Linked DNA regions of Callithrix jacchus. The main gene of each other region encodes a partner of the protein of the gene in region 6 in a complex. Links are inferred from orthologs where the notes say so. Each region holds a gene or a part of one and is shown on either strand. Other genes may lie near its edges.

What was found.
Region 1: the proteins of LIN9 (region 6) and MYBL2 are in contact, whole or in part, in a crystal structure (PDB 6C48), measured with the Homo sapiens proteins. The link is inferred for Callithrix jacchus from reciprocal best matches to the Homo sapiens genes LIN9 and MYBL2. Residues at the interface, in NP_001353174.1 of Homo sapiens: Lys356, Gln385, Arg386, Tyr388, Ala389, Thr390, Val392, Leu393, Leu395, Glu396, Asn399, Leu402, Asn403, Leu406; in NP_002457.1 of Homo sapiens: Trp663, Ala667, Cys668, Gly669, Gln674, Met677, Gln678, Ala681, Arg682, Leu684, Leu685, Arg687.
Region 2: LIN9 (region 6) and RBL2 share a complex: the UniProt entries of both Homo sapiens proteins name them as parts of the DREAM complex. The link is inferred for Callithrix jacchus from reciprocal best matches to the Homo sapiens genes LIN9 and RBL2.
Region 3: LIN9 (region 6) and LIN54 share a complex: the UniProt entries of both Homo sapiens proteins name them as parts of the DREAM complex. The link is inferred for Callithrix jacchus from reciprocal best matches to the Homo sapiens genes LIN9 and LIN54.
Region 4: the proteins of LIN9 (region 6) and LIN52 are in contact, whole or in part, in a crystal structure (PDB 6C48), measured with the Homo sapiens proteins. The link is inferred for Callithrix jacchus from reciprocal best matches to the Homo sapiens genes LIN9 and LIN52. Residues at the interface, in NP_001353174.1 of Homo sapiens: Leu335, Gly336, Phe338, Phe342, Leu343, Ile344, Val346, Thr347, Leu349, Ser350, Lys351, Leu353, Met354, Lys356, Lys357, Ile360, Leu363, Arg364, Asn367, Thr368, Ala370, Glu371, Lys374, Ile382, Phe384, Gln385, Tyr388, Ala389, Val392, Leu395; in NP_001019845.2 of Homo sapiens: Asp61, Met64, Leu65, Leu68, Gly69, Leu71, Thr72, Thr73, Leu76, Met77, Val80, Leu83, Gln84, Leu86, Ala87, Leu90, Asp93, Glu94, Glu97, Met98, Arg100, Gly101, Leu104, Asn105, Ile106, Leu107, Glu108, Pro110.
Region 5: LIN9 (region 6) and TFDP1 share a complex: the UniProt entries of both Homo sapiens proteins name them as parts of the DREAM complex. The link is inferred for Callithrix jacchus from reciprocal best matches to the Homo sapiens genes LIN9 and TFDP1.
Region 7: LIN9 (region 6) and TFDP2 share a complex: the UniProt entries of both Homo sapiens proteins name them as parts of the DREAM complex. The link is inferred for Callithrix jacchus from reciprocal best matches to the Homo sapiens genes LIN9 and TFDP2.

What each region holds. Positions count from the first base shown.
Region 1 is NC_133506.1:39,073,373-39,076,872, reverse strand, and holds part of MYBL2 (myb-related protein B), read right to left. Parts: intron 3,418-3,500; coding exon 3,130-3,417; intron 51-3,129; coding exon 1-50. UniProt on the Homo sapiens protein: Transcription factor involved in the regulation of cell survival, proliferation, and differentiation. Transactivates the expression of the CLU gene.
Region 2 is NC_133521.1:11,359,325-11,362,824, reverse strand, and holds part of RBL2 (retinoblastoma-like protein 2), read right to left. Parts: intron 1,944-3,500; coding exon 1,813-1,943; intron 1-1,812. UniProt on the Homo sapiens protein: Key regulator of entry into cell division. Directly involved in heterochromatin formation by maintaining overall chromatin structure and, in particular, that of constitutive heterochromatin by stabilizing histone methylation.
Region 3 is NC_133504.1:114,862,099-114,865,004, forward strand, and holds part of LIN54 (protein lin-54 homolog), read left to right. Parts: intron 1-141; coding exon 142-344; intron 345-2,906. UniProt on the Homo sapiens protein: Component of the DREAM complex, a multiprotein complex that can both act as a transcription activator or repressor depending on the context. In G0 phase, the complex binds to more than 800 promoters and is required for repression of E2F target genes.
Region 4 is NC_133509.1:109,031,448-109,035,396, reverse strand, and holds the start of LIN52 (protein lin-52 homolog), read right to left. Parts: upstream 2,801-3,949; 5' UTR 2,794-2,800; coding exon 2,763-2,793; intron 1-2,762.
Region 5 is NC_133502.1:29,108,517-29,112,753, forward strand, and holds the end of TFDP1 (transcription factor Dp-1), read left to right. Parts: intron 1-152; coding exon 153-231; intron 232-2,409; coding exon 2,410-2,557; 3' UTR 2,558-3,737; downstream 3,738-4,237. UniProt on the Homo sapiens protein: Can stimulate E2F-dependent transcription.
Region 6 is NC_133520.1:23,015,478-23,018,114, forward strand, and holds the end of LIN9 (protein lin-9 homolog), read left to right. Parts: intron 1-98; coding exon 99-196; intron 197-684; coding exon 685-790; 3' UTR 791-2,137; downstream 2,138-2,637. UniProt on the Homo sapiens protein: Acts as a tumor suppressor. Inhibits DNA synthesis. Its ability to inhibit oncogenic transformation is mediated through its association with RB1. Plays a role in the expression of genes required for the G1/S transition.
Region 7 is NC_133518.1:42,587,437-42,590,936, reverse strand, and holds the end of TFDP2 (transcription factor Dp-2), read right to left. Parts: intron 1,542-3,500; coding exon 1,436-1,541; intron 1,223-1,435; coding exon 1,039-1,222; 3' UTR 56-1,038; downstream 1-55. UniProt on the Homo sapiens protein: Can stimulate E2F-dependent transcription.

The DNA.
Region 1 (3,500 bases), on a different chromosome or scaffold from region 6:
GGCTCCTCAGGAAGGTCAAATTTACTCAAGTCACACCAAGCATCGGGGTCCTGTCCAGGGAGGGAGGTTAAAATTGCAATTACTCTGCTTTTAATACAAGAGGACTTGTCCATTAAGGGAAATATTTAAGTGTCAAGTATGAACCTATAGCCCAGGACTAATTATTAATATCTCATGCATTTCCTCAGTTTTCTATGACTGTACATCTATATTTTCACAGATTCTTTCTTTTCCTTAAAAAGACAGGGTCTCTAGGGCCAGGCACGGTGGCTCACGCCTATAATCCCAGCACTTTGGGAGGCCGAGGCAGGTGGATCACCAGGTCAAGAGATTGAGACCATCCTGGTCAACATGGTGAAACCCCGTCTCTACTAAAAATACAAAAATTAGCTGGGCATGGTGGCGCACGCCTGTTGTCCCAGCGACTCGGGAGGCTGAGGCAGGAGAATTGCTTGAACCCTGGAGGTGGAGGTTGTGGTGAGCCGAGATCGCGCCATTGCACTCCAGCCTGGGTAACAAGAGTGAAACTCCATCTCAAAAAAAAAAAAAAAAAAAAAGACAGGGTCTCTGTTGCCCAGGCTGGAGTACAGTAGCACAATCACAATCACAGTTTACTGCAGGCTTGAATTCCTGGGCTCGAGTGATCCTTCCACCTCAGCCTCCTGAGTGGCTGGGACTATAGACATGTACTGATACTCTTGGCTAATTTATTTCTTATTTATTTATTTATTTGATTAAGTCTTGTTCTGTCACCCAGGCTGGAGTACAGTGGCACGATCTCCACTCACTGCAACTTCTACCTCCTGGGTTCAAGCAGTTCTCCTGCCTCAGCCTCCTGAGTAGCTGGAACTACGGGTTTGTGCCACCACACCCAGCTAATTTTTGTATTTTTAGTAGAGATGGGTTACGGGTTTCACCATATTGGCCAAGCTGGTCTCAAATTCCTGACCTCATGACCCGCCTGCCTCAGCCTCCCAAAGTGCTGGGATTTCAGGTGTGAGCCACTGTGCCTGGCCTTGGCTAATTTTGATAAAAGCTTTTTGATATACAGTGCTTCGCTATGTTACCCAGGCTGATCTCAAATTTGTGGGCTCACATGATCCTCCCAAAGTGCTGGGAGTATAGGCATGAACCACAGTACCCTACCTGCACGTTATTTTTACAGAACGAAATACAGAGCATTGAATGGGATGTCACTCATCATTGGTGCCTGCTTGGGGCAGCTCACAAAAGTTGTTTCCAATCCCTACAATTCTCCTAGGGAAGTCACTAGCCATCCTGACCCATGATGAGCTTTCACCTTCATACCAAGGAAGATGAGCTAAGGGGATTTAGTCTCCCTGAAGTTACTCAGCTTCTAAGAAGCCCGTGAATCATTCCAGGTTTTCCCTCCTTTACTCAATAAATCACAACACAAACCAAAAGTCTTCTGGACACAGAGGCTTCCACTTTGGTCTGCGGAAATCTGGCCTCTGAGGGGACCCCAGAGCTGATTGTAAGTTCTGCTTCCCAGGACTTACAGGAGCCTGGGGCAGTTCACTCCCAAAGGTGAAGGCCACCTGGGGGCAGGACCGACCTCAGGCCCACATCCCAACCTCAGGGTGGCCCCAGCATTGCAGGCGTCTGATAGACAAGAAGTAGATCCTACAAGGACCACCTGGAGTGGACAGAGCAGGGAAGGGAGGACGGAATTTCCACACATGCACTAACTCCCCCAACAGATGAAGAAGATCACTGTGGAAATAGCCTGAGTGCTGAGCTAGACAGCAGGGTCTGACTCGTGTTCCTGGGAGCGTGGGGTGCTCTCACTACCCACCTCACAGGTTGTTAAAGACCAACGAAGAACCCACACATTAGGTAGCAAGTGAAGGGCCTGGCACGCGGCAAGCACTCAAATGTTAGGTACTGTCATTACTCATTAAGCATCAGGTATGGCAATTAGTGTGTGCTCAATACAAGTGAGCTATGCCTACCAAGCAAAAGGAAACAGAATGGTCTGAGGTAAAGGGAGATGATGCTGTGGTACACACAATGTGCCAGGCATAGAGGGACTGACTCCCATCTTGGCACTCCCCTCAGGGCTGGCGGGAGAGATGGTGTCCAGTGCTTGCTTCAGAGCTATGCTGAGAATCCATGAATGTGCTGGTGCCTGTCAAACTCCTCCAAAACCCCCTGGAGGTGGGGGTACCACAGACAGACCCTGCAGCTGGTTCCAGTCCCAGCCACTGGGGTCAAGAGGTGAGGCCTACAGTGAAAGAGGGTCTGAGCAGATGGCCCTCCAACCCTTCATCAGGTAATAGCAGGAGTACAGCATGGCAGTCAAGACCACCAAGCATACTTGCTGTGCAACCCTGGGTATACTACTTGACCTCTCTGAGCCTCAGTCTCACCTATAAAACAGAAATGACACACTTCACAGGATACCACGCAGACTGTATGTGTAGCTCAGAGCCTGGCAGTTAGTAGATGTTCTAGGATGGCAGACACTCACGTGGGAAGGCAAATGTGGAGCCCTCATACTGAACTCCCCACCCCAATGACCAGGCCTCTGGGTCTCTCACCTCCCAAAACCCGCTCTACAGTGCAGTCCTGGTCAATGCAGCCAGAAGCTGGAGTGTCACACCAAGAAGCCCTCCTCAGAGGACACAACCCTACAGCCAACACAGTAACCACAACATGGGCTCAATGCCTGCCCCACCCTGAGTAACCAGAACCCACTCACCACTCCAAGACCAACACCAAGCCTTGACACTTCCTGGGGACCTCTTCAGGGAGGCCCAACCATGTGTGACGTCACAAATAACATGCTGTCCTGTGCTGTCACCTGCCAGTCAACCTTTAGGACACAGTGCAGTGACACCTCCTCTGGGCAGCCTTCCCACCCCACCCCGTGCCATACGTAGAAGTCAGATGCCACCACAAACTCCTGCTGCACACACTGGGAGCTCCCCAAGAACAGGGACTGCGTGGTGACAACCCTAGTGTCCACAGCCCTTGAGTCAGGGCTAGCCACTCAGCATCAAGTCAGTAACTGTTAGCAACAGAATGGGCAAAACGATGTGGGCCCACAAGAGAAGCATTACTGCCAGGAGTGCTCTGTGCCACTGCGAAGTGCTGCGACCAACATACCGACTCGATCAAGTCCAGGGCTTCAGAGAGGCTAGAACCCACGGCAGGGATGAGGAGGTTTGTAGCCTCCACAACCCACTTGTAGGGCAGGCTCATTTCTGGCGGGGAGCCTTCCTGGTCCTCACGCTTCGGGAATTCCTCCAAGGGCTCTGGTGTTCGCACTGCATCCAGATCTGTAGGGATGGGTTCCTGCTCCTTCCAAGTGGTGGCTACTATAGGTTCCTCCTCACTGCTCTCCTCCTCCTTCATGGTAGGAGGGCCAGAGGGCCAGCTGGTCAGAAGACTTCCCTGTAAGACACAAGAATACACCGTGTGGATTTTGCTGAGATATAGACTATACAGTAGTTGCCAACTACAAGACACAACCTGAA
Region 2 (3,500 bases), on a different chromosome or scaffold from region 6:
GTGGGAGGCCAAGGTGGGAGAATCACTTGAACTCAGGAGATGGAGGTTGCAATGAGCCAAGATCACACCCCTGTGCTCTAGCCTGGGCAAAAGAGCAAGACTCCATCTCAAAATAAATAAATAAATAAATAGAATAAAATGTTATCCTTTTACTTTGAAAATCTTTCTTAGTGAGATTATCTTTTCCTGTATCTATTAGCTATGTGAGTTATAACCTTTGTGAAGTCATATTCTTTATTCATTTTATTAACCCTGTTAGTAGTTCTTAATATAATTCTGCATACTGATTGTCTGGTCAATGTAACTCAGGATGGAGCTAACGGTTAAAAAAAAATTACAGCTAGAGCATGACACTGTAAATTATTTCATTTGAGATGGAGTCTCGCTCTTCTCACCCAGGCTGGAGTGCAATGGCATAATCTCGGCTCACTGCAATCTCCAATCTCCGCTTCCGGGGCTCAAGTGATCTTCTTGCCTCAGGCTCCCGAGTAGCTGGGATTACAGGCACACGCCACCATACCCAGCTAATTTTTGTATTTTTAGTTGAGATGGGTTTTTGCCATATTGGCCAGGCTGGTCTCGAACTTCTGACCTCAAGTGATCCACCAGTCTTGACCTCCCGAAGTGCTGAGATTACGGGTGTGTGTCACCACACCTGGCCTGTTAATTACTTTAATAGTAAGCTTTTTTTTTTTTTTGGCAGGGGGTAGGGGACAAGGTCTTGCTTCAACATTCTGGGCTCAAGTGATCCTCCCATCTCAGCCTCCCAAGTAGCTTGTCCTGCAGGTATGCACAAACACACCTGGTCAATTTTTTTATTTAGTCATGATTTTTTTAACTATTAGATCCATAAATTTTGACAGTGATAATTTCCCCCCAAATATTAGACATCATTTTTCCACTTATCTTTAATAAGCTATATAAGACAATTCACCTAAAAGGCACAAAAAAAAGAATGTAATCAATTTAATTATACAACAGATAAAGCAATTTCTGCCTCTTCTTTTAAACATATTTGACTCTTTCTAAAATGGATTATAATCATGTCATTTTTCTTCCAAACAGGAAACCGAGAAATACTTACACGTTCCATTTATATTAAGACCACAAGTCCTGTACACATATTTCTAAGTACAATACCAAATAATTAATATTTTATTTACCTTTTCAACTTATAGTATCTCCTACAGTTTCTCAATATCCTTCATTTCTCTCAATATTACACAATGTTATAACCTTTAAAAATAAACTCTTCCAATGCCGGGCACAGTGGCTCACACCTGTAATCCCTGCACTTTAGGAGGCAGGAGTGGGCAGATCACAAGGTCAAGAGTTCAAGACCAGCCTGGTCAACATGGCAAAAACCCCGTTTCTACAAAAAAATACAAAAATTAGCCGGGCATGGTGGCACATGCCTGTAATCCCAGTTACTCAGGAGGCTAAGGCAGGAGAATCACCTGAACCCAGAAGGCAGAGGCCACAGTGAACCAAGATCACGCCATTGCACTCCAGCCTGGGTTACAGAGCAAGACCCCATCTCAAAAAAATAAATAAATAAAAATAAAATAATAAACTCTTCAATACAAGTGTCTAATACATTAAAATTTAAATATTTTCACCAAAGAAATAAAATATAATGGATACCAACTTTGATACAAATAAAGGAAAATCATTGGATGCTAATTTTAGCATCTAATTTCACCCGTCCACAGGTACAAATGCTCAGAAAATGATAAACAGAATTGTTACTATCACTAAGATTTATAAGCTCATATAAGCCATACTCTACTTCTCAAACTCTAACATAGTTACCTCTGCTCTGAACATTTCAGGATTCTAGTTAAAGATACATAGTTTCCTTCCACTGTCCCTTTGCTCACAGTTGGAACAGATTTTCTGCAAGCCACATATAAGGCACATGCTAACCAATGAAGATCATTTCCCTGTAAAAGAAAAGAAAATCCATTTTTAATTAATAAGCTATATATCTATTTCAATATTTTTTTAAAGTATGTTTAAATGTTTATATGGTGGTGCAGGGTGAAAAAATAAAAGAAAGTGTTTATATTTTTGTGGGAAATTTATTTTCAATAAGAACCCTATCTCATACGCTCTTCTTTTTTTTTTTTGAGATGGAGTCTCGCTCTGTCACCCAGGCTGGAGCACAGTGGTGTGATCTTGGCTCACTGCAACCTCCCCCTCCCAGGTTCAAGTGATTCTCCTGCCTCAGCCTCCAAGGTAGCTGGGACTATGTGCCACCAGGCCCAGCTAATTTTTGTAGAAACGGAGTTTCACCATGTTTGCTAGGCTGGTCTTAAACTCCTGGCCTCAAGTGATCCATCCACCTCGGCCTCCCAAAGTGCTGGGATTACAGACATGAGCCACTGTGCCTGGCCCCACATGTTCTTCTTATAATGTGACATTGACATTATTTTACTGAGAGGCAGGGAAGGTTCCCTCACCATGGAGGTGGGCAGGGGTCTGCACACTGATTAACTGTCTCTATCAACAGCAGAGGTAGAAGTGATACTATGTAATTCTAAAGATTATACAAGGCAATATAGATTCCACTTGGTTCTTTCTCTTAGGACATATGCCTTGGGAGTCCTAAAAAAACATCCAAGAATTCAGTTACCCGGTATCACCATGCTGGAGAGACCACCATGGAACAGACATACAGAGATGCCCAATGAGCTCCAGCTGTGCCAGTTCCTAGTTGCTCAAGTCTTCCAGGTGAGGTACCAGTCATTTTGATGCAGAAACCTGATATCAATATTGTCCCTGGCCTGAATTTCTGACTCACAGAACCTGTGAGCAAAACAAATTGTTTTCTGCTCCTAAGTTTTAAGGTAATTTGTTATATAGCCATCGGAATGGACATAATATTGTTGTTTGTATTTTTAATCTTGCTCAAAATCTAGAAAATTATAGAAATACAAAATTAAGCTTGAATGGACATTCAGCCACTAATTTTATACCTAATCAAAATACATACATGAATGCATGAAATTTATTCTTATAACCAAATGAAACTATTGTAGATTACTAACATATTATCATTAAACAATAATAATTTTTAAGGCATTGCTTCTAAAAGATCATCCTCACAATTCTTTTTTATTCAAGAAGTGATACAACTTTACTACTCCTATAAAAGAGAGCAAGGATGGAAGATGTCCTTTAGTTTCACTGTATCCATTACTGGTCTAAAGGAAAATAAGAAAAACTGGAAGTTCTTCATTTTTCACATTTATACATAGACTATCTTAAAAATCCATTTATATGTACTAATAGCACAGATGTATTGTCAAAAAAAACCAGCCAACGTTTGTGTATTACACTTATCTCTGGGAGATGGTTTCACAATATTCGTTATTTATAATGTAAAAGCAAATTTAGATTTATAACTACTGCATTTCTCTACTATATCAAATCTCTTAGAAAGTATAAAGTCAGTCACAACATTATCCTGTGCTTTAATAAAGGGTTTAAAAGATAAT
Region 3 (2,906 bases), on a different chromosome or scaffold from region 6:
GTAGTTAGTGTTCATCAGCCAGAGGTGCTTCCATCTAATCTCAGTTCACCAGGTAATGCTATTATCTGGTGATTTGATTGTGGCATCTACTCACAGTAATGTATTTTGGTTTTGATTTGGAAACTTTTGTAAATCTTTTAGGCAAAAATAATGTGTTCCTCAATATGCAAATGTGTTGGCTGTAAGAATTTTGAAGAAAGCCCAGAAAGGAAGACATTGATGCACTTGGCAGATGCAGCTGAAGTAAGGGTACAACAACAAACAGCAGCGAAGACGAAGTTATCCTCTCAAATTTCAGACTTGCTTACTAGGCCAGCACCAGCTTTAAATAGTGGCGGTGGAAAGTAAGTCAGTATTTTAATCTTTTTGTAGTATTTCCCAAATACTCACTTTTGGTAAAGTTTCTTTTTGGGAGCCAAGTTGAGTTTATACTTTTGGTTGTTGCAAACCTGATTTTCGCACTTTCTTTCCATCTTCAGTTAACTTTTAGATGTTTAAAGGTAACAGAAACTACTGTCGGATTATTGCACAAGTCTAAAATGCACAGTAATGATTTAGTCCCTTGTGCTTAATTTCTGCCTACTAAGATGAGGTAATTATGTAATTTGAGGAACCCCAAAGAAAACCGGGTGTTTCATGTGTCTCGATGAAAGTGTAATTATTCATGGTTTTGCATTTTCTTACCTTCTCTTGCCTTTTCCATTTCTTGGAGCAGTTTCCCCATCCTGTTGGGCCACCCATCATATCATACTGTAATAATGCAGCTCCATATTGTTATCTCCTTTATCTGCTAAGCTCTGGAGTAGAAAAGCTTGACCTCTAAAGTCAGGAAGACTTGAGTTTATGCTATCTGTGCTACTTAGTAGTTTGTGAATTAGACAAGTACTTCATCTCTTTGAGCCTCAATTTTCTTACTTTTAAAATAGCTCATATCAGGTGGCTGTGAGGAACAAGGCATGTCTATAATATCTCCAGTGTTTGTCAAGACCTGATACAACATAGGTTTGTGATTTGGATTAGACTGATATTAGCAAGCTTGGTAGAGGTTAATTTGAGGTGTTATTAAATGGAATAAACCTTGCAAATGGCATATTATTTAAAATGCCTAAGTTGAAAATGAGATCCAATGCTTATAAAAATAAGGCTTTTTTTTTTCCTTTATGAGATGAAGTCTCACTCTGTCGCCCAGGCTGGAGTGCAGTGTCACGATCTCAGCGCACTGCAACCTCTGCCTCCTGGATTTAAGCAATTCTCCTGCCTCAGCCTCCTGAGTAGCTGGAATTACAGGCATGCACCACCACACCCAGTTAATTTTTTGTATTTTTAGTAGAGATGAGGTCTGTGTTGGCCAGCGTGGTCTCGAATACCTCACCTCAGGTGATCTGCTCTCTTGGCCTCCCAAAGTGCTGGGATTATAGGCATCAGCCACCATGCCCTGCCTTAAGATATTGGTTCTAAAGAACTCTTATCATTTGAAAATAAGCAGCAAATGGTTCTTAGCTGAATAAAGTGGAAATGGGCAGGCACTTAAATGATGTTTATAACCTGGGATCCTTCTGGTTTTTAGAGTACTGAATCTCATCTCCACATGGAGGTTAAAGATATTGCTACAGTAAAATATTTGTAATTTTTAAACTTGGGAAGATGTTTATGATATGAAATGAAAACAAAATTATAAAATTATACATTATAATCAAAACTACCTATTAAAAACTTGTATTAAAAAGTTATGCCAAAAATAAATAAATAAATAAAGTTATGCCAGCATGTTAACAGGCTTGTTTCAAGTGACCAAAACATTGAATTGGTATTTTCTAGTGTAAAGTGCTTGTTTGTATGTTAAAGATTTCTATATAGCTACATGGCAGCCTGAATTCTCAATCACCCTCTCTTGCCATTGTGAGCCTTAATTTCAGACTTCGTTGTTTAGTATACTTCTGTTAGTGACTGCTTACTCACAGGTTGTTGAGTTAGTGGTTAGATTATGTTGCTTGAATTAATCTGTCACAGACTAAGACTTGAGTTGAGGCCAGGCACAGTGGCTCATCCTGTAATCCCAGCACTTTGGGAGGCCAAGGCGGGCAGATCATGAGGTCAGGAGTTAGACCAGCCTGGCCAACATGGTTAAACCCCGTCTCTACTAAAAATAGAAAAATTAGCCGGGTCTGGTGGTGGGTGCCTGTAATCCCAGCTACTCTGGAAACTGAGGCAGGAGAATCACTTGAAACTGGAAGGCGGAGGTTGCAGTGAGCTGAGATCATGCCACTGCACTCCAGCCTGGGCAACAAGATCAAAACTCTGTCTCGGGAAAAAAAAAAAAAAAGACTTGAGTTGGCTATAAATAGAGCAAACATCACCATGGGTTGCTCCAATTTAATCCTCCATAGTTGGGGTCTTTATGGATGCAGCTCTGAATAGAGCAACATTAGGTTTCCCCATTTTGTTTTGTTGTGATAGAACAATGCAGGATTTTGGTATGTTTTCTTGTTTTCTACAAACATTATCAGTGACTGTAGTAAAGTGCTTTATTTTCCATTTTGTCCAAGAGATAGTGCTGTCAATTCCCAATATTATTCTTTAATTCAGCAACTATTCATGTAGTGTCTCTATGTGTCATGCACTATTCTAGACTGGAACGACAGCAGTAAATAAAGATTGAACTTACAGAGGAGCATACATTCATGATTTGGAAAGGTTTAGTTAAAGAAATTCTAGTCTTCATGTAGACTGTATCTTTTAGTTACCACATAACCTTGCCTAGGTAATACGTCAGGTATTTTATATTAAATGTTATATTTCCTGAACAATATTCTTACAATATGTGAATAATAAAACCAGATCTAACTTGTTAAAGCTCTTTTTAGGATGTGCTTGTGCTCACTGTGTAAATTGTGATGCTCATCCTG
Region 4 (3,949 bases), on a different chromosome or scaffold from region 6:
ATGGTGCCATGGCACTCCAGCCTGGATGACAGTATGAGACTCCATCTCAAAACAAAATAAATAATAACAAAAATAAATTAGCTGGGCATGGTGGTGTGAGCCTGTAGTATCAGCTACTTGGGAAGCTGAGATGGAATGATAGCTTAAGCCTTTCAGTGTGCTGGGAGCTATAATCATACCACTGCATTTCAGCACCGGCAATAGAGTGAGAGAGACCCTGTCTCTAAAAGAAAATTTAAAAAAAAATCATTGAGGGTAGGATCTATAACCTACACCGGTGACCTTATGATACCACAATCTGGGACAGAACTCTGCTGTGAGTCTTACTCTCACAAATTAAGTAATTAGATGGCTGTATTTGAATTTCAGTTTTCTCCTTTTCAAAGAAGTTCCAGCAAATTTAGCATGAAAAAGACAAAAGAGTAAATAAAAAACATTTTTAAATCAATATTGTTTGAATTAAATTTTAAAGACAGTGACAGGTGGAACACTAAAAATAGAAGTGAGAGAGCTAGGCCATGGAATATTTTAGAATGAGTTACTTATTTAGAAGATGAATTTAATTAAGTTCAAAGTGCTCGACTTGATTTTGTCAGATTAAAAAGAAAAGATTAGGTGGAGAAGAGTGAAACTCTGTAAGAGATAAGAATGAAAACTTAAAAAATAAAGAGTGCAAATAAAGTGACCATAAAGATGGCTAGAAGACCAAAGGAAAAACATACAATGTTTTTAATACTCTTCCTGGCCAAAGAAAGGAAACTAAATTGAGAAGACAGGGGAAAAAATCCAACTCAAGAAACACATCTTTAAAATCCCCCAAATCTGTAAAAACAATTTAAAAATAAACTAAAAAATTTAATAACAATTACCTCTACTTCTATCACTTGGCTTTGTTATTTTAAATTGTGGTGAAATATACATAAATTTGACCATTTTAACAACTTTTAAGTATACAGTTCAGTGGTATTAAGTACATTAATTGTGCAATCATCAGCACATTCATTTCCAGAATGTTTTTCACCTACCTAAACTGAAATTTGGTACCTGTTAACAGTAACTCCCTATTCCCTCGCCTTGCTTTTTAAATGCCCTTCTTTCTGGCAAGAGAAGGACATTTCAGCAAGAGAGCACCCAGGCAGGAGACTCTCTTTTGACTCCAAACATCCATAATTTCTTTTTTGTTGTTGTTGAGACGGGGGTTTCGCTTTGTCACCCAGCCTGGTGCAGTGGCATGAACATGGTTCACTGCAGCCTCCACCCCAGGGCTCAAGAGATTCTCCTGCCTCAGCCCCCCAAGTAGCTGGGATTACAGGTGTGTGGCACCATGCCCAGCTAATTTTTGTATTTTTTTTTTGTAGAGACTGGGCTTCATCATGTTGTCTAGGTTGGTCTTGAACTCCTGAGTTCAGGCAATCTGCCCGCCTCAGCCTCCCAAGATCTTAAAACTTAAGATCAAGTAATATATTATTTCTGCATATATCTAATCAATCTTTCAATAAATGCTAATTAAAGACCTACTGTTCACCAGGCACTGTGCTAAACCCTGGGATCCAACTATAAACAAGACAAACTTGAAATTTATAATCTAGCATAAAAGGGGCAAAGTTAACAGAATTACTATGCTGACAAGGAAGACACTGAGATAATGAATAATGGTGGGGAAGAGCGACTCCAGATCCTGTGTTCTAAGAGACTCTTTGGGAGGTGACATCTAAAAAAAGATCTGAAATTGAAAAAAAAATATTTATATGTTTGAGTAATCTTTTGGAATCTCAAAGCACCTAGCATTATGCGTTTCATGTAGCAGGTACTTAATAAAGCTCACCTTGGCTTCAATTTCCTCATTCCTGTAATGAACTTTCAAGATTCCTTCCAAATACAAAATGTGTTTGTCTAAGGGAGGGAAACCTATATATCAATGAAATCGATATATATAGTTGGGATGGGAACGACAGAAACAAAAATGAGTTTAAAAATGACTGCAAGACCCTAACTCTCTAAAGCAGAACCGAGACCAAAAGCATAGGAATATACCAAGACAACCTAATTGTTACTTGAAATGACTTGCATTTTACAATACATAAACAGAAATCGTTCATTCACTCAGCCTGAAGAAACAACACAAAAAGCAGATGCAAAAGAGGTTGCGACCTGTGCAAGACAACACTTAAAAGCTCAATACTCATTCTCCTCGCGACTCTCACGGTGAGGGGCCGAGAACGTCCCCCGATTATCTTGCTGCCACGGCAGTGGTCCCAAACAAGAGACAGGAGAGAGATCATGTTTCTCTTGCGGTTCAGTATCGAGATGAGGTCAGCCAGCAGCCACTGCTAGAGTTTGTGAGAATCGTTCCATCCCTGCGCTCAATCAGAAGAAAACTGATCCCTCAGTGTGATACTCCAAGGAGGAGACTAGTTTAAGGCACGTCCTTTCCTCCACTAACATCTCCTCCGAGGCTCTCAGCCTCACCCAAATAGAGACAAGGAAGGATCAGGGCAACCCCCTGTCCTTTTACCCAAAGTGAGTCCCTCCCTGGTGCCCTCCTCCACACGCCTGGTACAGAGCGGGGAAACTGGGCACCTCCGGAGCCGCTGTGAAGAACCAGTGAGCTGAAGACGGCGATGGATCTCAAGAAAAAAAGTAAAAGGGAAAGGAGAAGAGCCCAAGAAAGAAATGTATGTTTGAGGGGCAGAGACAGAGTAGACGTTGCCGGTAGAGCAAAGAAGGAGGCTGCAGGCAAAGATCTACAAGCCGGCTCTTACCGTCTGTGGGAGACGCCATCTTCCAACCCATGTCACGTGACATGGCCAACCGTCGGCGGGAAAACGAGGATCCATAAGCCACTCCCCCAAAGAGAAACCCTATCCCCAACTCACAGCCTAGTCTCATTCCCTCGCCTCATAGGGCAACATTTGCCTATCCCCGCCCCTAATTATAGCCACGCCCCTCGCGCAGTTGTTGAGGTGGAGCGACTGCAAAATTCTTGGAGGGTCTTATTTACTTTTCTCGGTGAGAGGGCGGGGCCTCGGTTGCGCCCTTGGCCAATCGGAGTTCCGGGTTAGGGGGCGTCTTCCCCGTGTGCACAGTATGGAGTGTCCAAGTCAGGGGCGTCTTCTCTACCTCCGCCAACAGCATTGGCTGAAGTGGGAGAGGGCGAGACCTTTTTCGCTCCTGACCAATCACTTATTCACAGGACTGGCGTGTGAGGGGCGGAATCAGGTGTTGGTTCGCGTGACTGGCTGGAAAAAATAGTCCTACCCACCAATGAGGAAGCCAGTCAGGATGGAGGGCGAGGCCTGGCAGCTGTAGTGCTTCTGAGCAGTAGAGGCGCAGGGTGCGGAGCTAGGGAGGCCGAGAGCCATGGCGGCGGTGGTGGCGGCGGCGGCAGTGCGAGCCCGGATCCTGCAGGCGAGTGAGGGTGGTGCCAAGGGACCATGAAGCCAGGACTTAGATCTTTTCCGTCCACTCCGTGAACCATCCTCGGGCGGGACCACCTTTTTGGCCCAGCCCCTTTTTGGCCGGACCTCGTGTTCCTACGCGACCTGTGCGGCCCTGTCCCATGCGCAGCTCTCACTTCATACCCTACCTCGTCCCGGATCCCACCCGAGCTGTTACTCTTGGCCTTACACCCTTTTACTCCTGAGCCTCCTCTTTTCTGGCTCTCGCCCACTCTCCTCCAGCCCTGCCCGGTCCCTGCTGTCACTCTCTTGCCCTCACCACTCCATCCGTCCACCGTCTTTCCTTTTCACCTCTGCACCAGCCTTCTCTCTCTCCCCCGAGAACTACTCTTTTTGATTACTCTTTCCCTGCCGTGAGCGTCCACGTTGCCATTGCTCCCTTTCCCCACCCTACTTCACTTTCCTTGATCCGAGGTAAGGGGGAGAGGGGATGTGAGGGGAGAGGGTAAGTGTATGAACTTTGAATCTCCTTCTAGACGTGTACTCCAGGT
Region 5 (4,237 bases), on a different chromosome or scaffold from region 6:
TGTCCTCTGTGGCACAGTGCAGAAAATCCTGGACAAGTGAAGGATGTCTGGAAGCTTCCCCAGCTGTCCATCCTGCGGCACTGCGGGTTGTCTGTGTGTCTTGTGTTGTTTCTGTTTCGTGACCATTTGCTTCATTTTCTTTCCTTTTTCAGAAATGGCTCAGGGAACTGTTGGAGGTGTGTTCATCACGACAGCAGGTTCCACATCTAACGGCACGAGGTTCTCCGCCAGGTGACAGCGGTTGAGGGTGTGGGAGAAGCATTGTCTGGGCCTCCTGTGGGGCCCAGGGGCCAAGGCAGGGTGGACGTCTCAGATGTGGCCATCAGGTCTGAGGCTGCTCCGACGTGCTTGTCTTCCCAGGCAGTGGCCCCACCGGCTTTCCCTGTGTGGAGAGCTGCTTTTCCTAGTTGGTTTCTCCTCACTAAAAACTAAAAGTAATACGTGGTGGTTGTTTTTTTTTTTGTTAAAGTATCACCTAAAAAGTAAGTAGGAATGAAAACCACCCAAATCCTTCTGTCCCGGGCAGCCCAAATAACAGCAAGTATTTCTAGTTTTTTTCTCCTATTTTTCAGAACACGTCTGCGGTCACAGTGCATTTGTATTTCAGAACGCATTTGTAGTCATGGCGCATGTATTTTTCAGAACGCATCTGTAATCACAGCACACATATTTTTCAGAACGCATCTGCAGTTACAGTCCACGTATTTTTCAGAGCAGTCACAGTGCACATATTTTTCAGAATGCATCTGTGGTCACAGCGCACGTATTTTCCGAACATGTTTGTGGTCACAGTGCATGTATTTTTCAGAATACGTTTGTGGTCACAGTGCACTTTCTTTTCAGAACACATCTGTGGTCAGAACGCACATGTTTTCTTCCATGCATTTTCACCTTACATTTTATTGTATTTATATATATTATTTCTGTGCTATTAAAGGGCCTTTATTTAAATAAATTCGTATTTAATCTTTGACCTGCCATCCCATAGGGTAGAATGATGTCCCTAGGTATTTATCTTGGTGCTTCAAAGAGAAATATAGCTTTTACAACAGATATTAACAAAACAAAGATTTTATTGACTTTTATATTGCATTGTGATACAATATGTAGTATTACTTTATATTAATCCTAAGTGTTCATAAAATCTTTAATTGGAAATCTAAGAACTTAGTAACCTGTGGGTCCAGATAACAGGGCACGACGTAGTGAGTTGCAGTGCGCATGAGCCTGTGTTGGAATGTGCTGTGGCCGTGAGATGTGACAAGTGTGTCAGGGGTGCATGTAGCTTCCTGGCCAGCTCTGGGGTTACAAAGCCAGTCTCTTCCAGTCTTGGCCTCACCTGTAAGGTGAGACTGGTGATGAGTCGTTGATCTGTGGCAAGGATCAGTGAAGTGGTGATAGAAGAAGGGACTTGTCACAGTGCCTGGTAACAAGGTTTTGACCGAGGCCGGTTCTCTTTCTCTTCAGCTGTGTGTGAATGTGTAGGGGTCAGTCTGTAAACATGTTTAACACTGGTTCTTCCATGAGGTGAAATGTGGGTGTTTTTAGGACTTTCATCATCAGATAATCCTTTTCATGGATGTGATTCTCAGACTTGTCAGTTTTTCATAACAATGGAAACAAAGCTACTACCATTTCTTATGAAATACCAATTTTCAAAGTGGCATGATGGGACATTTTATGAAAGTACCTCATGAAAGGACATCTAGGCAGTTCCCAGTTATCAGGAAAACTACAGTGAGCAGCTTTGCGGCTGAATTTCTCACCATTTCTGACGTGTTTCTAAGATACAGAATCACTTCATCAAAGGCATATTGACTCATTTTCATTGTAGTTAATAAATACTATTAAAATATATTAAAATATATGCATATATTTTTATGCAGTTGGAAAACATTTTTAAATCTTGGAACATTGTGAGCTGTGATTAGTGGTAGGTTTTTGTGGTGCTGCAAACCCTCTGGGTTCCCAGTCCATGCTGCTAGATTCTAGCCGTGCTCTGGACTACATCCTGTCCTGCCCCAGGCTCTCTTTTTTTCCTGTTGCTGGTTATGAGTGAAAGTCCTGGAGGGAGGGATCTAACAGTTTTTCAGTTCATTGCCTCTGGGCACTGCTCCTGATGGAATGATGAGTGAGGGAGAGGGAGCTTGTGGCTCTGCTCAGCCTCCTATTTCTGGCATTGTGGATTCCAGGAGACAGGGTCCGAGGAGAACCAGACGGGGATGGAGTGAGTGCCAGAGTGCTGGCGTGCTGTAGTGCAGACACTCATGACCTCCCAGTTCTGTGTGTGTGACTGACAAAACTGACACCTGTTCGGCGCAGCCTGTCCTTCAGCCGCAGGCCCTGAGGTGAGGGGAGGCCGAGTGGACTGCTCTGCACTGACTGCCTCATCCGCCTCCTGCCTTGCAGTGACCTGACCAACGGTGCAGATGGGATGCTGGCCACAAGCTCCAACGGGTCTCAGTACAGTGGCTCCAGGGTGGAGACCCCAGTGTCCTACGTCGGGGAGGATGACGAGGATGACGATGACTTCAATGAGAATGACGAGGATGACTGACGTCCTCCCCACTTCAAATTCAGCTTCAGGAAAACGTTTAGGGAAAAGAAACTTTTTTTTTTAATGTGGGTTTTCTGTTTCCTTTTGGCCTACTCCCAAGAAGATATTGGTAAGCTATTGAATTTAGATATGCACCTCTGATAAGCAAGGGTTGTTTACCGTAGGATTAGGACGTGCTGTGGATGTGTGTTTTGATACCAGTGTGCTGATGCAGAGCGTTTATTTACTTTTTAGGATTTTGTGTTTTCATTTTTCTGGTTTTCTCTAAGTGCAGAGTTCAGTTTCGCCCCTGAACAGTTTTTGCTGAGTCTGCTGAAGAAATTATATTTCATCCACATCCATGAAAATAAAACACCCTCCTGTGGTGGATGGTGAGCACCTGGTGCCATTTATTTGCCGTGAGTCTGGACGGCACCCCCGCTGGTGGATAGCAGGACTCTGTGGATTGTTCCATTTGGTCAGTGGTACTGTGTCCAGAGCCCCAAGCAAACAGCAGAATTCGACTTTCTAAACAATAAACTTCATCAACCTTATTGACTTTATTTTCCCTTAAATTATATTGACTGTTGTGATTCCATCAAGCTTATCAACTCTTTTCTCTCCCTATTTGCAGCAACAAATTGCAAAGTGCTTTTGTTTGTTTGGTTAGGGCTTATTGCCACGCTGGTGCGGCTATGGAGACTGTCTGGAAGGCTTGGAATGGTTTATTGCTTATGGTAAAATTTGCCTGATTTCTTACAGGCAGCATTTGGAAACCTTTTATTATATAGTTGTTTACATACTTATAAGTCTATCATTTAAAAACATGTACTGAAACAAATGTTGTATTTGTTTCATAAGCATCTTCCTGTAATCTATTATAAAATTGAAATTAAATATAGAGAATGTTTTAACAATTTTTTAACTCAAAATTTGTCAATCATTTTTAATAGTTCTTTTTTTATAAAAAGGAAAAGGAATTTAAGGACAGGCAGTAGTCTCTTTTAAAGTTTATTCACAAAACCCATTAACTGCACAGTTGCTGTTAGCTGCCTGTTCTGAAATGATAGTCTTTTTATTGAAACACAAATAAACTTTTCTGTAATATTTTATGGAATATAAAGAGACTTTAATTGTTTGACTTGTTTAACTTGGCACTGTTAGTTTTTATTAATAAAACGCGCATGGGCATTTTGAACAAGCTGTGTTTCTCTAATTCAGGATTATTGTCTAGAAATTTGTCTGTCTTGTTGGTCTTACTTTATACTTGAGTGAGAAAGTAGGTTGTTATTAGGCCCAGACACAGTGCGTCCTGGTGGTCCCTGTGGGCACACCCCCCGACCAAATTTTGGTCAGAAGCACATCTTCCGGGAGCCCACCCTGAAGATGGAGAGTGGCCAAGGGTGGAGGTCTTGGATATAAGGAAAGGAGGAGGCACCTTTTTTGGTGCCTGTGGTGCAGAGAAAGATAAGCCAAGTTCCTTGGCTTTTTTTCACGATGAAAATTGAGACTTAAAAATGTAAAAGTTTGACTTCCAGAACAAGAATAAGATTGGGAGGCTTCTGGGAAGATGGTGGAATAAGGAAGCCAGGAATCTGACGTCTACTCCCAGGCAGGATCTGCTGGATGCAGCTGTTCTGTAACTACGGAATCTACCAAAGGCTTAAAGCTTACAAGGGAGCATATGGCAGTTAATTTTGG
Region 6 (2,637 bases):
TGCTGATTTATTGCTAAGAAATTAATTCATTGATTATATCAGGTATTTTATATTTGAGCTATAATTCAATTAAATTTTGAATTTTTTTTTCTCTTTAGTGTCTAGCAGAAGGAGGAGACCTGAATTCCTTTGAATTCAAATCACTTACAGACTCATTAAATGATATCAAGAATACAATAGATGCTTCTAATATCAGGTAATTCGTTAGGTACACTCTAATCTTTTTAATGGAAGTTTGTAGTGATTTTCAGTACAAGTTTTAAGAATTATGTATATTTGTGAAGTACTCATGTTATTCTCCATTAAATATATTTTTAAGAGCTTTTCACTTATATCCAGTCTGTTGACAGAATAGAAATTTCACATAGATTTTGTATATAAAGAAATTAGGAGGTATATTTAGGTTTGGGGTTAACATGGAGGTTCAGCTTAGAAGTTGAGCTTTCCCAGTCAGTGAGAAGCTCATCCCCTCCTTCCAGCTCCCTGTGGCTCCTTTGCTTCTTTAGAGCATATTTGTTCAATTACTACTGAAGTAGAATTATGGCTAATGTAGTAGAGGAGATTTATTCCTTCTCTAAGACTTATCAGAGCTGTTTCCTAACTAAAATTCAGCTCTCCTTTTTAAAAACTTTTTTTCTTAATTTTTTGAAATAAAGTTGTTAACCATATTTCTTCTTTCTTTAGTTGCTTTCAGAATAATGTAGAAATCCATGTTGCACATATTCAGAGTGGCCTGAGCCAGATGGGAAACTTACATGCCTTTGCAGCAAATAACACCAACAGAGACTGAGTAGAAGATTTCATTATTCCAACTGCACAGGACATTGTTCTTTTCCTTTATATAGGCTTCCAACACCAAATAACCTAACTGCTGGAAAACAAGGGAAATTTAAATCTCCAAATAAGGCATTTTAATAGACTACTGCTTCTTAAACCAGCATTGCTGACCAGCATTATATTTATTTTTCTTTTATTATTCAAATGCAGTAGCATTGCTTATGTTATATATGTTTTTATTAGCAAATATTTTTAAACTGAGAATATCTGAACATAATATAATTTCATTGACCAATTTTTTTAACGTGCATGAATTCGCCGCCACACATGGAGACAACTCAGACAACTGCTGCAATGGAGAGTCTGAAGAAACCTGGTCTTTCTGTTCATGTCGGTGCAATGCGGAAATTCCATCCAGAAAATTACAGCTCCACTTAATTTAGTTACTCACCATCTCAGTCTTCAAAAGATGACATCATGAAGTGTGGGAAGTCCTAGTTTTAAGGAAAGCCACTGAAATATAGATGGGAAATATGGACTTTACAGGTATATGTGATATATACTTGCAATGTGACATGGTTCGATAGATCATTTTATAATAATAAATATTTAAATTTATCATAACTTATATAAAAGAAAACTTTGTTGTTTGTCTGTTGAAATAAAATGAAGGAATAGGGAGAAAACATAACTGCAAAATGCTAAATTTCTGCAAATGGATTTGGCATATCTTCCCATCAGTTCAGGTCAAAAGTGCTATTGTTATGAGATTTATTTAAAAAAAAAAAAAAAAAGACTGATAACACACTATTTTCATATTTTTTTTGTTTGTTTGCACAACTTTTAAACCAGATTACTGGTTAAAATCCAACAGTACACAATTTGTAAAGTAAAAAGATTTTATAGGGAAAACAAATATAATAACCAGTGCTGTGAAATGCAGAAGAAAGGTTTGTTTTGGTTGTTTTTCTTTTTTAGGAAAATCCTGCCTAAAATGTTAATCTTGTAAAAAGTATGTATTTGGAATTTTCTTTGTTTTAATATAGAATATTATAAATTCAAAATATAAATTGTTTTCAAATTTGGAGTTTAAGATACAGCTGTAGAGGTGATTTTAATTCCTTTAGATGTCTCATCAAATGAGACTTTTTATATGTTAATGTATAATAAAACTGAAACAAGATTATTTTCCATTTGAAATTTTTGTATAGTTTAAAAATGCTTCCGTATTCTTTGTTGGTATTGTGCCACTGCAGAACTTTAGTGCAGAGTTTATATTTAGCTAAACTGTTATGTTAATTAAATGCATAAATCTTCTATTCTTAATATTTGTAATTCTAAATAAATTGATCTATGAAAATTAGTATTTCCTATATTTTCATTTAATTAATTCAAGTTGATATGCATTCCTTCTGTTTAAAAGTTTTGAAGAATTGTAATTTTCATTAAATTACATTTTTAGGGGAAGCAGTACAGAGTAATTACCAAGTCACTCTACCATACCATCCAGTGGTATAGATTTTATTACCATACCATACCACTATACCATACCATCCAGTGGTATAGACTTTATTACCATACCATACCACTCTACCATACCATCCAGTGGTATAGATTTTATTACCATACCATACCACTCTACCATACCATCCAGTGGTATAGATTTTATTACCATACCATACCACTCTACCATACCATCCAGTGGTATAGACTTTATTACCATACCATACCATTCTACCATACCATCCAGTGGTATAGACTTTATTACCATACCATACCATTCTACCATACCATCCAGTGGTATAGATTTTATTACCATACCATACCACTGTACCATACCATCCAGTGGTATAGACTTTA
Region 7 (3,500 bases), on a different chromosome or scaffold from region 6:
AATGAAAATGTGAAAAAAAGGTGACATGTACAAGGAAACAGTGCTGTTCATATTCTTGAAATAGACTTTTCTTTGAGACAAAAGTAATGACATTTGGTTCATTTTCACAAATTGCACACTGGGAGAGATCACACAATTACTGCAGGGAACTGGAGGCAAGCAATTTGGTCACAGGAATTTGTTTGTCTTGTTTTAAATTAAAAAGCTGTATGAAATGCATAGCTTTGATTAACCTAAAGATACAGTTTCCCTCTCTGTAAAACTCCAGATTTAGGATGCTGGCAAAAGGCAGTGCTGGCAAGTATTTAATGTACATGGAAACACTATTCTATTTTGGCTTCCAGAAGTAGCCCTGGTAAATTCTATGCACCAATGCATTGGCTAATGATGATTAATTTCGGTTTTACTATAAATTATCTAAATGTCGCTTAAGTACTTAAGAAAGCGCTCGCTCCTTTCTAGAAGCTGTCTAAGGCAGCTGATGCGTAAAGCACCTCAACTAGACCTCCAACTAGTTCAGCAGTTCAATCTGTGCCCCTCGGCCACAGGACTGCCCTCTGGATCCCTCAATACGCAGCTCCCCCTACTGGGGACTTTTCATGTTCCTTTCCACCTTGTCAAAGGCAGTCCAGGCAAGGAAGGGAAACAAAAACTCGATCGTCAAGGACTGCTCCATGTAGCAATCTCAATTCTAAGAATAATTACATGGGTGTGAGGAACACAAAAATCCCACCTCACAGAATATAAATGGGCTACACTCCCACTGCCAACTCTTCAGGGATTCTCCCCACTATCTCCTCAGGAACATGCTTGCTTTGTGATACCATTTACTGCTGTTGGTCAGACTTTCGTTTACACTATGTTAACTTTCATCTCAATCATCTCAGCCTTAATGTGATTTGCTTATTGTGTTTCTCTAGTTTTCACTGAACACAGTGCAAACAAAGGCAAAGACTGAAGCAATCATTTCAAAAACAAGAGCTCACACTACAAACACACATGAGCATCACATATTGAAACGTAGGCTTTCTCTTGTCTTTATTCTGGGGAGGAGGAATCCTCCTCGTCATCTTCCTCGTCTTCATCATTGAATGAACAGGGGGTCTCGCCTCGGGACTCGGAGCAGTGAGAGGCTGCACTGCTGGACTGGTGACTGTTTGGGGCCAGGAACTGCCCAGTTGCTAAGGCCACTTCTGCATCCAAGCATAACCCTTGGTTTACACTAGCAAACAATTAAAAACACACAGGCTCATTAATGTGGTAGAAACAGTTTTGTAAAACATAGGATAAAAAGATAGGAAGGAGGTGCCATTGGTGAGATCTGCCACAAACCTGCTCAGCAGGACCTGTGCTGGCAGGAACATGAGCCCGGCTCACTGCTACAGTCAGTCAGGGCTCTGGGGTTTGCCTTTCTAACCCTGAAAACAATACATACCTTGACTGGGGTAAGGTGGCACCAGTGGTCAGGTCTAAATTTGAACCTGATTGGGTAGAGTTCAGAAGTAGTCCCTGATTTAACCAAGAAGGTCCTGTGGAGATATCTAAAGGAAAAAATGAGAACAAAAAAATGTAAGTCCTCCAAGCAGAGAAAAACCCAGGTTTCCTCACCTTCTTGGAAGAAAAAAAATTCTAGAACATAAAACCAGGAAAAATAAATACAGGAGGGGAGCTTATGGAGAGAAGGAATTAAAATGAAAACACTCCACAGGCACTTTGTTTTTTTCTTAGATAAGCCCTCCAGAACCCAGCCCTCAGGGTGCAGCCCAGTGTACTATCCTCAATGCCTGCTGCCCTCACCACTAAACACCTGGACTGCGGGGTTAAGAGCCAAAGCCAGGAATGGGCACAGTGGCTCACGCATGTAATCTCAGCACTTTGGGAGGCTGAGATGGGCAGATCACGAGGTCAGGAGATGGAGACCATCCTGGCTAACATGATGAAACCCCATCTCTACTAAAAATACACATATATAAAAAAAATTAGCCAGGTGTACGTGGGAGGCTGAGCCAGGAGAATCACTTGAACTCAGGAGGCAGAGGTTGCAGTGAGCCAAGATTACACCACTGCACTCCAGCTTGGTTGACAGAGCAAGACTCTCAAAACACAAGAAGAAATACCTGAGGTAAGAATGCCACCCTGCTTCAGGGAAGACAGATCTGTTTTGGCCAAAACCCACACCGCACTGTCTTTTCAGGTGCCTGCTGGTAAACTCAATGCTGCTACTTATGAAAAATACCTCTTCTTTTTTCCTGACAAGATTTTTCCTGGTTTCCTTTGTTTTCTAATTCAAACTAGCTCTTATTTTAAGAGTCTCATGCTCTACCGACTGAGCTAGCCAGGCACTGGCTGACTAGCTCTTATTTTAAAAATCTCACATGCAGTCACATTTTTAATGATGGAGAGACAGACATTACTGTTTTAATCTACAGAAATTTTGGGCTGGGCGCGGTGGCTCACGCCTGTAATCCAGTACTTTGGGAGGCCTAGGTGGGCGGTTCACCTAAGGTCGGGAGTTCGAGACCAGCCTGACCAACATGAAGAAACCCCATCTCTACTGAAAGTACAAAATTAGCCAGGTGTGACTGTAATCCTAGCTACTAGAGAGGCTGAGGCAGGAGATTCCCTTAAACCTAGGAGTCGGAGGTTGCAGAAAGCCAAGATTGTGCCATTGCACTCCAGCCTGGGCAACAAGAGTGAAACTCCATCTCAAAAATAACAAAATATTTTGGATATCTCTTTGCCATCATGACAACACAACACGATCAATTCTTATCGTAATTTTACTGGTTTAAGACTTATCATCCTATCTAGAAGGCAGTAACTGGGACTGAGTACAGTGGCTCATGACTATAGTACCAGCACTTTGGGAGGCCGAGGCAGGAGGATTGCTTGAGCTCAGGTGTTCGAGATCAGCTTACAAACCTAGCAAAACCCCATCTGTATTAAAAATACAAAAATTAGCCAGGCATGCTGACAGATGTCTGTAATCCCAGCTATTAGAGGCTGAAGGAAGAGAACTGCTTGAACCCAGGAGGTGGAGGTTGCAGTGAACCGAGATTGTGCCACTGCACTCCAGCCTGGGTGACAGAGCAAGACTGCCTTAAAAAAAAACTACACATTACTAAATGAATTAGTATACTCTGTCAGCTGCCACTTTAGGAATTATTTTGAATGTATATACTTATTAAAAATAATTCCTAAAAAGAAATTCTGTAAGCCCAAGCACATACTCAGAAAACATAATCTGCCAAAATGAGCTATGATTTAATTTAATACAAACCTTTTTGAGATCACTCTACAAAAACAAACTATGATTTAGATTAGAAACTCTGGTATCCAACTAAGAGGCCATTCCCATGTAGGAAAAAGTAAACTAAATGACTATGCTAATTTTAGAATTGTCTTATGAACCTTTTTCTTTGAGGCAGCTGTGGAAAAAAAGAGACTTCAAGTCTAAGAAGAATAGCAGACTTTAAATACATTAAATAACAAGTCTGTAC